Medicago truncatula: one gene and its partner. Each later gene encodes a partner of the first gene's protein in a complex. Links are inferred from orthologs where the notes say so. Each region holds a gene or a part of one and is shown in the gene's direction. Other genes may lie near its edges.

The links.
Region 2: DNA topoisomerase 3-alpha (region 1) and recQ-mediated genome instability protein 1 share a complex: the UniProt entries of both Arabidopsis thaliana proteins name them as parts of the RMI complex. The link is inferred for Medicago truncatula from reciprocal best matches to the Arabidopsis thaliana genes TOP3A and RMI1.

The regions. Positions count from the first base shown.
Region 1 is NC_053044.1:47,665,313-47,672,692, reverse strand, and holds the start of DNA topoisomerase 3-alpha, read left to right. Parts: upstream 1-4,375; 5' UTR 4,376-4,508; coding exon 4,509-4,799; intron 4,800-4,909; coding exon 4,910-5,088; intron 5,089-5,316; coding exon 5,317-5,389; intron 5,390-5,561; coding exon 5,562-5,684; intron 5,685-5,776; coding exon 5,777-5,898; intron 5,899-5,977; coding exon 5,978-6,050; intron 6,051-6,140; coding exon 6,141-6,257; intron 6,258-6,730; coding exon 6,731-6,814; intron 6,815-7,380. UniProt on the Arabidopsis thaliana protein: Releases the supercoiling and torsional tension of DNA introduced during the DNA replication and transcription by transiently cleaving and rejoining one strand of the DNA duplex.
Region 2 is NC_053049.1:44,633,507-44,640,615, forward strand, and holds the start of recQ-mediated genome instability protein 1, read left to right. Parts: upstream 1-4,089; 5' UTR 4,090-4,155; coding exon 4,156-4,605; intron 4,606-5,074; coding exon 5,075-5,245; intron 5,246-5,374; coding exon 5,375-5,520; intron 5,521-5,705; coding exon 5,706-5,839; intron 5,840-5,974; coding exon 5,975-6,918; intron 6,919-7,109. UniProt on the Arabidopsis thaliana protein: Essential component of the RMI complex, a complex that plays an important role in the resolution step of homologous recombination, in a process called Holliday Junction dissolution, to limit DNA crossover formation in cells.

The DNA.
Region 1 (7,380 bases):
CCGAGGTTTTCCTCGGCAGTTAACTCCAGCCGAATTTTCCTGCCGTGGGGGCAAAATCGTATTTTACTCGTGTTCCTCAGTCTTATCAAATGTGTGAACAACAATTCTCAAAGGATTAAGGAAGATCACTTCTTTCCATAAACCCTTCTCTCTAGGTAAAAACTCTCTCACCTTTCTCTAACTTTACAGAAAAGTGAAACACCACTTTCTCTTCTCCCAAATCAAAATTTTCCTTAACAAGATGTAGATCAGCAAAGTGGTGGTGGTTCTTCCACCACCTACCCCCTTATGGGGTTTCCTTCGTCGGCGCCGCCGCGACTTCTTTTGCTTCGCCAAAGCTGCTCGCCGTAGTCACTCGGGCGGTTTATGGATCGCTGGTGGTGTTAGTGGATTGCCGATTCTTTTATTGCCGGCATTCTGTTTGGGTTTTCTTGTTCATATCCATATATGTGTTGGTGGGTTATGCTCGCAGATTGCCTCCACCATTTTGGAAGGTTCGTGTTTTTGTTTTACAATCGCGGATTCGCGGTTGTTCTTTTGTCGTCGGCGGTTGGTCGTTTCGTTCGTTTTTCTTTCAGAGACTGGGGTGATTTCGGTTACTGACTTGTGGTTGGTTTCGTAAACTCGAAAGGGTATGTTGGTTCTTTTAACCAGAAAGGGTTTGGTTGGCGACTATTGTGTTGACCTATCGATCTGGTTCAATATGTGGTTATGACGAGATTGGTTGTGGTTGGTTCCTGTTCTCTTTGATTCTATGATGTTCCAGATCTGTTGAGATCTGTAGATCTCAAGACGTCAGGTGTGCCTCCCTACCGGTGTTGGTTCGTTTTAGTCTTGTCAGACTGTTATGCTCGAAGGAGCTTTATACTTGTTGATTTTTTCAAGGAGTTGGTACGTGGATCTGGATTCCGTGTTTGCGTCCGATTGATTCGCCAATGTGAACCCTAATTGCTCTCACAGATGCCACTCTTTTCATTTTTTTGTAACTTTGTTTCGTACTCGTACGTCGGTGCGTTAGGTTGCGCTTGAAACAAGTGTTTGTTTGTTAGGATTGATTAGGTGGTTTTGCTTTATCGCGATGTATTCTCATATGGATTGTACCAGGGTCATGTCATATGTCCCCAAGTTTTTGTATGTCTTTGTTTTCTTTTTAATATATTTATCCTCGAGTAATGCTAGGGACACTTTCTCCAACACTCACTCTCTTATTGGATGAAACTAGTGTATGTCCCATCACTTTAAGTGGAACCCATTTTCAATGTGTGAGACCCAGCTTTATTTAAACCAATAATAAAGTGAATGTTTGGAAGAGTGTTGGAAAGATATTGTTGCTAGCATTACTCTTTATCCTTTGCCTAAAAGAAAAAGATAACAAAATCAAATAATACACTTCATTGTATGTTGTATTATTGTTAAGAAGAAAACGGGTTTTTATGTGTATTTTCGTAAATAAAAAAGGTTCAGTGTGTGTTTGGTTGTGTGGTGGAGAAAATTGATTTTAATATAATTGATTTTGTAGAATTGATTTTCGTTAAAAGTGAGTTTAATGTAAAGTGATTTATGTTTGGATACCCTCACAACAAAAGTGCTTTGTATGAAAAATGTTGTTTGGATACTCGATGTCAAAATTGCTTTTGGATGTGTAAATGACCAAAATGGATTTTAAGTTTTAACATACGTGTGTATATTATTTGTGGATCAATTTCTTTTCAATTTTTGTAAAATATTTAAAATTTTGTATATCATTTTTTAAATAATTTTTTTTCAACTTAAAAATAATAAATACAAATATAACCTAAATATTAGCCCAATTTTTATTAAAAACTAAAAGCATTTTTTTTAAGGACGTAAAAACACTTTTTATTATGCTTATTTTCCCCATGTTTTCATAATTCAACATCTATAACTATTTTGGTTTAGTTTATTAAATAAATGAAAGGGGTGATCCATTCGTTAAATAAGGGATAACGATAAGGACTTCCAAAATTTTTGATCAGAAAGGGATGTACCAAAACAGAAAAAGGGGGGTCTTTGGCTTTGGAGTCATATCTTTTCTAACATTGACACAAAAGCTTACTGTTTTGCAATACAAAAATGACATGATAATTGAAGGAAGGAAGAGATCGTCACTATACACAGCAAAGTTTCTTTTATTAAAGAGGGCAAAATTGACATTGCTTGTGGTTACTTTAGAATTGATTTAAGGGAAATACAAAAGCTACAAAATGTTGCTTCAACTAGAATCGATTTCAAGATTCAGAATCAGTGTTTGTTTGGTTTGGCGGCGGGGAGAATTGATTCCGGTAGAATTGAGTTTGAGATAATTGATTATGGTTAAAAGTGAGTTTGATATGAATTGATTTATGTTTGGATACACTCACTTAAAAGTGATTCTTATGAGTTGATGTTGTTTGGATAATTTTAGTCAAAATTGATTTTGAATGTGCAATGACCAAATTATCCTTTTAATTGTTTTTGAAACTAAATATCATATTTTCTTTTCAGATAATTATCTCTACCTTTCTAAAATCATAAGTACATTTTTGCTGGTTCATAAATTCCTTTTAAAATAATATGGAAGCGATTCATATGGATGAAAGCCAAACATGACACTTTTTAGTCAAACTGTGTTTGACCGCTCAAAACGCATGTTTTCCGTTTTCTAACGGGTATCCAAACAGGCACTCAATTCCATAGCAGAGATCCAAACAACCCCAATCTCAATCAAATCACGGTGGATGGCTGTAAACGTTCGTTTGCGGTTGGTGGCCGTGAAACTAAACAGGGACTCAAGCTAAAATACCACCATAATGGAAAACAATGATGAAAACAAACTGTTAATGAATATTTTTTTTTTAATAAAACATTTAGTCGAAAAATATTCACCATTCAATTGGCAGGCATTATCATTCACCAATTTTTTTTATTACCATTACATGTATTTTTTTTGAAAGGTGAATCATTGCATGTAGGCATGTACTATATAATCAAAAGAAAAAAAAACATAATTAAAAAGGAAAAAAATAAAAGACTTCTAAGTTCTAATGTCTAATTTTTTTAATAAAAAAAAGATATGCATAGTTTGTTACAATACAAATGTGTAAAATATATATAAGTATAATTTTTTTAGGCAACTACACTTGTACTTTTAATTAAAATCAAAATTTTATAAAAATAATTATATGTATTACGCAACACTAAAAAAAATTATACGCATTAGCGTAACAAAAAAAAACAGACAGACGAACATAAAATATTACTCTAAACACTAATGTGTGTGTATATATTTATGAGGTTGAAGAAAGAGAATAAAAATATTTGTTGTCATTCATTGACAGCGTGAATAAAAATATTTGCGAGGTTGTGATAATCAAAATATATTGAAATTAATATATAAGTGATAAAAAGATAATGAAATTCCTTAAAAAATTGATAATAAACTTAAATGGACCGTCATTAAAAAAAATTAAATGGATCGGTTCAAAAAATAAAATAAAATGGAAGAAAAAAGCATATTGAAAAAATAAAAGAATAGGTTGCCAGCGTGAGTTGTAGAGAGGGTGCTTGTAAAATAAATTGGGGAGAAGTAGTTTTTTGAAGTAGCATTCAACAACTTTTGGTTAAAGCACATTTCATTTAATTTTATGCATTCTAAAAAAAATACTTTTTTTCGAAGGTACTTTATTGATATTGTGTTTGGCCTAACTTCTTCTTAAAAACTTAGAGAAGCTGGAAAAAAGTTGGGCCAAACGGTACCTAACAATTCTACAACGATTCATCAAAACCTAAACCTAACAATTCAATAAAAGTTCTTTAACAATTCTAACCATTCTAACCTAAACTATCCTAACATATCATAAAATCAATAAAACCTATATAATTAAAATTTAACAAAAAAAGTTAAACAATTTGACCACAAAACAACAATGCGATAAGATTAAAAAAACTTACTTGTTTTTGTGATTGAAATTGGTTTGAAATGACTTGAAATTACTCAAAATTGCACGTAGGAGATCAAAAATGTAACAATAGAGTTTTGGAAACTCCCATATCTATTCGGTTATTGAATTCCTCGACAATTAATTGTTGAGGGACCAAACATGTATTTTAGTTGCGTGCCTCGTCTTTATGAAATGTGTCCACATCAATCTTCCTTATTTGGTGACAACTAGGGTACCCATGGAAGAATGGTGGGTAATTTACCCCAACCAATACACATTAACCACATAAGCACATTTTTAAGTGGTATTCATGAACAATCTTGACCCCACCAACAAATTTCTCATTTTCATTGGTTGATGGGTAAATTACCCACTATTTTTCAAAGGTAATTTAGAAAAAACCTCCTTATTTATTCGTACCCGAGTCGAGTTACTTTCCCGTTGATTGAATTTTCAAACAATTTGGGTTCCGCTTTCTCTCCCTCCCAAACCCTGATACAGATAAACACCCAAATTACGGCGGGAAAATCCAAACCCCACGGAATCGGCTACGAGTCACCGTAACCAATGGGTGGACGCGCCATAACCGTCCTAAACGTGGCAGAGAAGCCGTCGGTGGCGAAATCGGTGGCGAGCATACTCTCTCGCAACCAAGGCCTTCGAGTAAGGGACGGTCGTTCTCGCTACAACAGAATCTTCGAATTCAACTACACCATTCGAGGTCAACCCTGTCAAATGCTCTTCACCTCCGTCCTCGGTCACCTCATGGAGCTTGACTTCGACGATCGTTACCGGAAATGGCACTCGTGTGATCCCGCCGATCTCTTCCAGGCTCCGGTTCATAAATTCGTTCCCGAGGTAATTTCTTCTCGTTTTTCTTCTTCTTCTTCTTCGTTGTTAGAATCTTAATTTCTCTTTAGAATGTTTCTGATTATCTGTGCGATTTTGATTGCGTTGTTAAACCCTAGGATAAAAAGGATATCAAGAGGACATTAGAGGAAGAAGCTAGGCGGTGTCAGTGGCTTATTTTGTGGCTTGATTGCGATAGGGAAGGTGAGAATATCGCGTTTGAAGTTATCAATGTGTGTACTGCGGCAAATCCGAATCTTACTATTAAGAGAGCTCGATTTTCTGCATTGATTGACAGGTTAGGCGTTGTTTTGTCATGATTTTAGTTGTTTTTTTCCTCTGTTATTGTAATGCCTGTATCACTGGTACTTTAGATTGAAGGCAAGTTTGGTGTCCAACACGACACTAACACATCAATTTATCAGTTCAATTTTCTTAAATTGATCGTTTCTTTGGCAGCGGTGTGTTTAGTATCTGTGTTTGTGTATTTGATTCATAATTTTTTACTGTTGCTGCTTTGATGCAGGGAAATCCATCAGGCTGTGCAAAATCTTGTCGAGCCTAATAAGTGGTTTGCTGATGCCGTAGATGCTAGGCAGGCGAGTCTCCTTTTTTGGTCTCAGTTGGAGCTCAAATTTTGTGTTCCAATTGAAACAGGAATCTGATGTTATTGGTTTCTATCAATTTCTTTTCACTAATAACCAACATATGCTAATTGATATTGTTTACTTTGTGAGGGTGATGGATGGTTATTTTTTTTTTTTTATGCAGGAAATAGATCTCCGTATAGGTGCCACTTTCACCAGATTTCAGACCATGTTAATGAAAGATGCTTTTGTCATAGACACTGTTACAGATGGCAGAAATACTGTCTTGAGTTATGGGCCTTGCCAGGTGTGTTTATGTTGACAATATTGTGATGTTTTTGTGCTTAAGCTGGTATTGGCATATTGTGAGTTTCCATTTTGCCTTCATTTTGGCTACAGTTCCCTACGCTTGGATTTGTTGTGGAAAGATACTGGGAGATACAAGCACATGAACCGGAAGAGTTTTGGTTAATCAAATGTTCTCATAGATCAGATGAAGGCGTTGCTAATTTCAGCTGGGAGTAATATGCAAAGCTTTGTGTGCATTCACAATTGTTATTGAGTTTTACCAACTGCTTATAATCTGAATTCACTTGGCAGGCGGGGACATTTGTTTGATTATACATGTGCTGTCATAATATATGAGATGTGCATCGAGGAACCAACTGCAACCGTAAGTGTTCACCAAACTGTGGCTTGCATATGCTGAAATCAGTTTTTTTTTTTTTTTTTTTTACTGATGATACATATTATTACCATTCAGGTGACAAAAGTAACACCAAAGGAGAAGCCAAAGTATCCTCCCCATCCCCTGAGTACTATTGAGCTTGAGAAACGGGCCTCACGATACTTCCGTATGAGCTCTGAGCGCACAATGAAGGTGAGTAAATATTGAGAATCCATGTATTTCATTGTTGGTAATGAGTTTGGAATATATAAGAGCAAGCAATGCATTTGTAGACGATGCTGCAGAAAAATCCTAAAAAACTTACAACCCAGCAGTGTTTGAAATTAAACTCCTGTTCCATAACTGTGTCTGCATGCATATGTGTACCCATCTCCTGTTCCTTACCTGTGTCTGAATGCATATGTGCCCTGCAAAAGGTACATTTTGTTCAACAGTTTTTCTAACTGCTTTCCTGCTACTGTATTTAGTCATTGGACAAATGTTCTGATTACGTGTATCTCTGTTTGCCACAATGTGGTGAATGAACACATTAAGCTACACAATAAATGTGCTTACAGTTAGTGACATGAGTTTTTTATTTCAAGTTCCAACTTTTTGTTTTTCATAGTTTTATGGGTATCATTGTTTTTATACACGTCTCTTATTCCTTTTTTAATTATTTATAGGTGGCAGAAGAACTTTACCAAGGTGGTTTCATCAGTTATCCTCGTACAGAAACTGATAACTTTTCTTCAAGGACCGATTTGCATGTGGGTAACTTTATCTTCTGTTTCACGCACACATAATTATTGGTTGGTCATCCCAGATGAATTTGGAGAACATGCTGCTTGACATGGATTTTGTGTAGTTGTTGCACTTATTTGGGTTGTATACTACAAATTAAAGAAAAGGGGGTAAAAGAATTAGGGTTGTTGAGAGTGAAAATGAAAGAGCATTTGAGCGAATACGCGTGTCTTAATTACACCCTGGAGAATATTATATATACACTAATTAAATGGCAAAAAAGCCTAATTTCTGCAATTACCCTTATTTACAATAATTTTAACAATGGTTTTGAGGAGGTGTTCTTTATGTCATGATTAAGGTAGAAAAAAGGAAATATGGAGTGTTTATCACTTCGGATGTTGTTGGAAATTCATTAGAATATAATATGGCCATGGGTATATGGTTTCTTGTAGATACATTAAGAATGGTTTGGATTTAACATTAGACATAGTATTTTTAGGACATTACAGCATCAATTTATCCGTGTATGTATATTAGGACATTACATATATATAGAATATATGGTTTTAAGTGAGAGCTAGGATGATCT
Region 2 (7,109 bases), on another chromosome or scaffold:
TACAATCATATCAAAACACTACACTAATTTAAATCATCTTATTTATGCGTCCATCCTTCACCCACGATGAAAGCAGAACCCCACTTTTTACATGGTTTCTTGGCTTGTCCTTAATTATAGTCAACAAATTTGATTCATGATGTGCTTCATCATCTGATACATTTGTGACCTCCCTTTCAATAACCCTTTCAATCTCATCCATGGAGACGTCCTCCTTGACACCTTCATTTAAATGGTGTTTTCTGACATTGAGACGTTTGAAGTTCGGTAAGCTTCTCGTTGACTTTAGTAATATACTTTGACTTACATTGATGCCTGAGACATAACTATAATAAACAAGAATTCCAAAGGCGACATATAAGGAAAGGCATTAACAAAAACAAAAAACACTTATGAAATCAAACAAACTAAATGACATTCATCGCATACACATAACCATTTTGTCGGCTAGACAATGCTAGAATTACCACGGGAAATCAACTGGGTAGTGTAATGGTTGAGAAAAGAAATTCAAAAATCTAGAAAAATGATGGTCACACAACTGAAAGATTGTGGTCACACAGACCAAATTTATGGTTAACTGTAACTTCCTATTTAAAAAGAATGACATTTTAGGCCAAACGAACATCGAAGCACACTAGTTCACCACATTTAACGTTCGTCTGACCATAAACAACTTCTTTTATAAGCTGCAAGTTTTATCAAAAGTGGAACCACGTTTTATCCAAAAATGAGATTTGAGATACATTTTATCTCTTTCTTACTATTTATCCACCTAAATTATGTGAAAGGAATACATTTGGGAAAACTAGATAATCTTGACTAATGAGCATGGGTGAGAGGTGAACTATTGTTCATCTTTAACAGGCTTCACAAAAACTAACCAAAATTGAGAAAGACTTCCCAATAATTACAAAGGTGTAACCATATTTTTTTTTCTGTGTTAAAATTACTCATCTATAAGTTTACTAATCTGCAAACAAATTAAAGCAATTCCAGTGCATGAAACTTAAAAGTTGATCACAATTGGTATTTTAGTGATAGATTTGCTTAAAATTATATAGTCTTAAAATGATAATTCTACTAACCAATTAACTGAAGCATATAACCATAATTTTACAAAGGCGTAACCACATTTACTCAGGCGTAATCGCATTGTTCATTGTTTTGGTTATCTAATTTTTACATGATAGGTTGGCTTAAAATGATATAGTTTTCATAGGATAATTTGTGATATAGAAATAATTAAAACATATAACCTTAGCATTTCCAACATTTCCTTAGATCAATTGTGTTCTTTCACAAATTTGAAATTGACAAAACCACAAGAATAAATGCAATCACTTACAATCAGCATCAAATATTGAACAAGCTCAATTTGAATTGACATTGAACATTGAACACATGCAATCACTTGGAATTGAAAAACACAGGCACAAACGCAAATATAAACCCTAATAACCTTATGTATGGAATATGAATCAGGAGTTAGCGCTGAAGAAGGTGACAGAACTTACAAGAATCGAAAATGGAGAATTGGAGAAGAACGGTGAGTTTGAAGGCTGTCGAGAGCGAACGAGACGTGATACAAAGAGAGATAGAGAGTCGCGAGCATCAATAACCCCTTTCTCACCCTACTGAATTGATTGAAGAAGGTAAAGTGATTGAATGCAAAATTCTTCTCGCCGGCGAAAAACTAGAACAGGGGGAGAGAGAAACTGGACTGAATAATGAACGAGAGGAAAGAAGCACAATTTTTTTTTTGTATGATATGAATTAGGCAAAAAAAATTGTTAAATATGCGCCAACTATGAGTGGTATGGGGTGTTTGTCCACATAAGTTGGTGGACGTATCAGAACTCAACTTATATTACCCCTTCATGAATTAGTTTATGGTTTAATTAGTTTAGTTTTTATTTATTTTTAGTCTTTACATATGTGAGGATTTCTATAGTTTTGAATATAACAAAATTAAAAAAACGTTATTGAGTGTTTATTTTGTTAGTGATTTGTTAGAGCAAATTGATCAATAGAAGACACATTCAAAGAACAAAAGTAACAAAGGTAAAATATAAATGGTGACCAAATTAATTAGTGAAAAACATTTGAAACTGTTTTTGTACTTGTGATTGATTCATGAACTATGACGATAACACGATGGTTTACAATATTTTTTTAAATAACAAGTTTTGCTAACAGGTATCATTAAAGATTCTTAAAAAAAAGTATCATTAAGGATTTTAATTTTTTGACGAAGTATCATTGAGGATGTTATTTAGTGAACAAATTTGCCTCACCATGTACAACATAATCATTTAATTGGCTATATACCCATGTTTTCCAGCAAAAAATATACTCCAATTTTTTCTCTCTCTCTCTCTGTAGTTTCCAAACAAGAAGTTTAATAAAAAAAGGTTTCCAAGCAAAGTTCATATATCGTTAAAGGGTCATGTTAACTTGTGCCTAAAGGCACATGTTAAATAACTTCAAAAGTGTAACTTTGCATTAAAAAATATGATATTTTAACTTTTAAGAAGTTGAATGCACGACTTTTGATATATATATTTTCATAATGAGTTCCTTAACATGTACCTTTGAGGACACAAGTTAGCATTTTGCCGTTGTTAAAATGCCAATTATCACCTTTTTCAATGTAAAAAAACATAGTTCTCAAGAAAACGTAGCACTATTATTCAATGACATATCACATTTTTATATTATATTATTTTATTTTAAAATATTATTTTAAATAGTTTTACTTATAGAGTATCTAAGAATTTACCTAAACTAAACTGCATTTTCGTCATATCCTATCAAATGAAATTAAATAAATTTGAATACTTTAAACTTTAAGTCTGGACTAATTTTTGGGTTCTCTACATTTGAATGATTTTACACTATAAAAAAGGAGAGAGAATGCGAAAAAAATTATGAGAGAAAATAAGAGATGAGAGAGATAGAAAAACATTGGTTAAAGAATTCATTAATTAATTTTTTTTGGTTTAAGCAAAAAATATTAAGTCAAATGTATTTTAACTTTGCTTAATTAAAGAAAAACACACCATTACACTTATTGAGATTCATGCACTAAAAATATAAAAGTTAGACCTTACTAAAATTATTGATGGAGTGAATATGTTTGTTCCTCCTCAAATTTATACCAATTGATCAATTTTGTTCTTCCATTTTTCAAATTAGAAAAATCGTCATTCAATTTGTTTCACATTTATCAAATGAGTTATTATGTCATGTTTAGATGTTGGACACGCGGACAAGCAATGTTAAAGGCTGATATGTTCGTCCATGTCACATGCCATGTAGAAAGGAACCAATTTGCTTGAATTTCTTTCTTTTCAAGAAACTAAATAATCATCAAACCAAAATAAACTAAACCAAGAAACCCAAAAATCTTCACCTCTTTGTCATTTTCTTCCTCTCTAAAATCTAACATTTGAAAATTGTGATCCCATAACATTCTTATGAACCTATTCTCTAATTTTGTATAAGAATAAATTGTGACAACTTTCTGATTGACTATGATAGTTGTATGGTGCTCTTGTGTTCCAGTCAAAGACTCGGTGTTTATGTTAGAATTGTTTAGATATGATATTCTAGTTGTATGATAAACAATGTTTAACTACACGTGTCTTGTTGGGAGGGTAAAATAGGTAGTTTAGATAAAATGAAGGAGTAAGAGTGTATAGATGTAAGATGAAGTGTTTCATGTTTATATTGGAGGGAAAATAAGTAGTTTGGATAAAATGAAGGAGTGAGAGGATAGATGTAAGAACACGAGGTAAAAATTTTGGTCATCTTTTTTCATCCTATGAGTTTCTCGTATGCCCTATTTGGATTGTAAAATCCGAAATATTTCAACGTGATTTTGGAGGTTTTTATGGAGTGTTTATATCATTCAGAGTCCATAATCGGAACCGTATAAGGCGCGTGAGAAACTTATATGGTGGGAAAAGAAGCTGTCAAAATTTCTGGGGATTAAATTGGGCCCAAGAGAGTGTTTTAATTTCTATTCGCCCCTCCCTTTTACTCAAACGAGAGAAACTGTAACCTAAATTATTCCCGCTCATTCCCGTTTAGAAGAAACCACATTTTCAAAAAACAATCCGCAATTCTTCTTCTTCTTCCGGCGAAAAAAAAATGCACATACGCCGTCTCAGACTCGACGACGACGATGAAGCCGCCGTCATCGCCGCCGTCGAAGCCGTCGAAGCTCAACCTCTACCACAACCTCAAATAGTTCCCTCGGAACCAGTCGTACTCTCCGACGATGACGTCTCCGATGACCACTCCCTTCCCACTCCTCCACCACCTCCTCCGCCGGTTCCTCCACCTCAGGCTTCGGATTGTCCCGTCAACGATTTTCTTCGCCGTTTTGGATTCTGCATAAAGAGAGACTCGCTTGCTACTTGTATTCGCGAACTAGGGGAATCGATGAACGGCTTCCAAGGGTTTGATGTTGCTACAAAGGCAAAACTCTGTTTCGAGCAGTTTCTATTTTCTGATCTCAATTTCTGTGGTAGTGGTGTGCTCCCTTCGAATGTTGCTTCCATGCATCTCGATACTCTCCCTGGTCCCTACGTATTGCAGGTTTCGATTCCGTTCAATTTGGCCGTTAATTAGTTACATTCTTTATCTTATTGTTAGAATTATTGTGAATTTGGAGGTTTACTTTATACTATAGGTAGATGTTTGAAAAAAATGCTTAAATCAAATGATTACATGATTCAATTGTTTTACATGATTCAATGCAACTGATTCTGTGGTAAGAGCTTGACTTTGTAGCCAAATCATCGTTATTAATACTTAAAAAAAATTGCAATTAGATGCATTTTAGGAACCAAAAAATAATTTGAATTTGAACATTCCTTTAGTCCTTTATGGGAGTTTATAGTATCTTGGGTTGCTAGGATCCAAATTATGCTCCTATGTGATGGACAGTGGGTTAAGTATTTTTTGCTTAGATGGTTGCTGATGTATATTTTCTACGTGCGTGTCATTAATTGCGATCGATTTCATATGTGGTACCTGTAGACTTTATACCTTAACGCGTTGGCAGGTTGATGAAATTGTCAATCTCTGTTGTCCTCTGCGAAGCAGATATCAACAAGCTCCTCCAACGCGTAAAAGGTGCCTGAAGTTGTCAATGACTGATGGTATTCAAAGAGTCTTTGGGATGGAGTACAGGTCTATTAATGCTCTTGAAGTTTGTGCATCTTCTGGTTTAAAGGTTTCTTCTATGCCACAAGTCATCCTTTTTTCTTTTCATTCGAATGCACATATATACATGTCCATGATGGTTTTATTTGCTATTCTCTCTGAGCAAGGGTTAACTTGAGGGATCTATTGGTACTTGTAGGTCGCAATCTCTAATGTACAAGTGCGCCGTGGAATGTTGATGCTGGTTCCTGAAACCATTGAAGTATTGGGGGGATTAGTTGAGCAGCTGGATGCTGCTCGAAAGCGGCTGGTTGATGAACTAAATAAGCCAGCTAGGGGAAAAAGGTACAAATTAGTTATTCCAATAGGATTATTCAGGCTGATATGGCAGGGAGATTTATATTTTAACAGGGAAGCTAAATTCGTACAAATTTCTTGTTGTTTTTATCTTTCTTGCTGGCTTCTACTACTATAATCCGTGACTTTACTGTATATAGGTAAACCTTGATCAGTTTGTTATCCTCATGCAGAACCATAAATGGAGTGCTTCCTCCTTTAGCAACCAGAGCGACTCTTGCTGCATGGGCTGCAAGTAGAGTTGATGATCTCAGTCACAGTAGCCCAACGTTGTACGGTACTAATACTGTCCAGGCAAACAACCAAGGTAAGTCCTTATGTTCTAGATTAGAGTGCCTAAATGTGTGTGCGAGAAAAAGTGTATTTACATATGATGTAACCAATCTCAGTCTTAGTATTCTTGACTCTGATCTCATCTGTTCTTTATGTACGTGTTTTACAGCAGGTACCGGCCACAGGATTTCTGGCACCAGTAACAACTTAACAACTGAAGATACTTCACGCATGAGTGCACAAAATGCTACTTCCAATTCAATACCCCACATGGTTTCAAACGTGGAGCAAACAAATATTGACATGCGGCACCAGCAGGGTGCCGGCATAACAACTGAATACACTTCGCGCATGGGTGCAGAAAATGCTAATTCCAATTCAATACCCCGCATGATTTCAAACACGGAGCGAACAAATATTGACATGCGGCGCCAGCAGGGTGCCAGCATAACAACTGAATATACTTCACGCATGGGTGCACAGAATTCTACTTCCAATTCAATACCCCACATGGTTTCAAACGTGGAGCGAATGAATATCGATATGCAGCGCCGGCGGGGTGCCAGTATAACACCCGAAGATGCTTCGCCTATGGATGCACAAAATGCTACTTCAAATTTAATACCTCTCATGGTTTCAACTGTGGAGTCAATGAATATTGATATGCAGCGGTGTACCAATCCCGTGTCCCATAATAGTTCAATGGCTAACCAGACTTCTTCAATAGCTGAGGAGATGCATATAGATACTGCTAATATTACCATGGAAAACTCTGTTGACAACCAATCTTCTCACATGAACTCAAATGTTGCAGTGGCACATGAAGACACCATTCATGTAACAAGAGAAAGTTCTGTGACTGCAGTGTGTTCTTCTGTTTCTGAAAATCTAGAGACAGAAAGGGGCAGAGTTCCTGTAATCACAGGTAATACTTCTCTGAACGGATCTGCCTCCAATGTTTTTAACAATGAAGATATCCTGATGGAGGACGCCAGTGACAATCCACTTATACTTTCTGTAGACCAAGAAGTTCCTTTCACATACTTAGCTAGTTTGTCAGCCAAGTGGGCAGCAATGAAGGAGACAGATCCTCTGGTTCGGGGTAAAATTAAGGTAAGGAGATTCAACTGTCCAATGTTCTTTCTTTGGATAGTGATCTTTAGCTCTCGTGCATATGGTAGTATCAGTATTCAAATTAATTTTACTGACTCTAGCCAATATGAGTTGTTAGAATAGGCTACCTACCACCATATTCTAAAGTGATGTTGTTAAAAGTTTAAACAAGTTTTACTCCGATGTTGTAT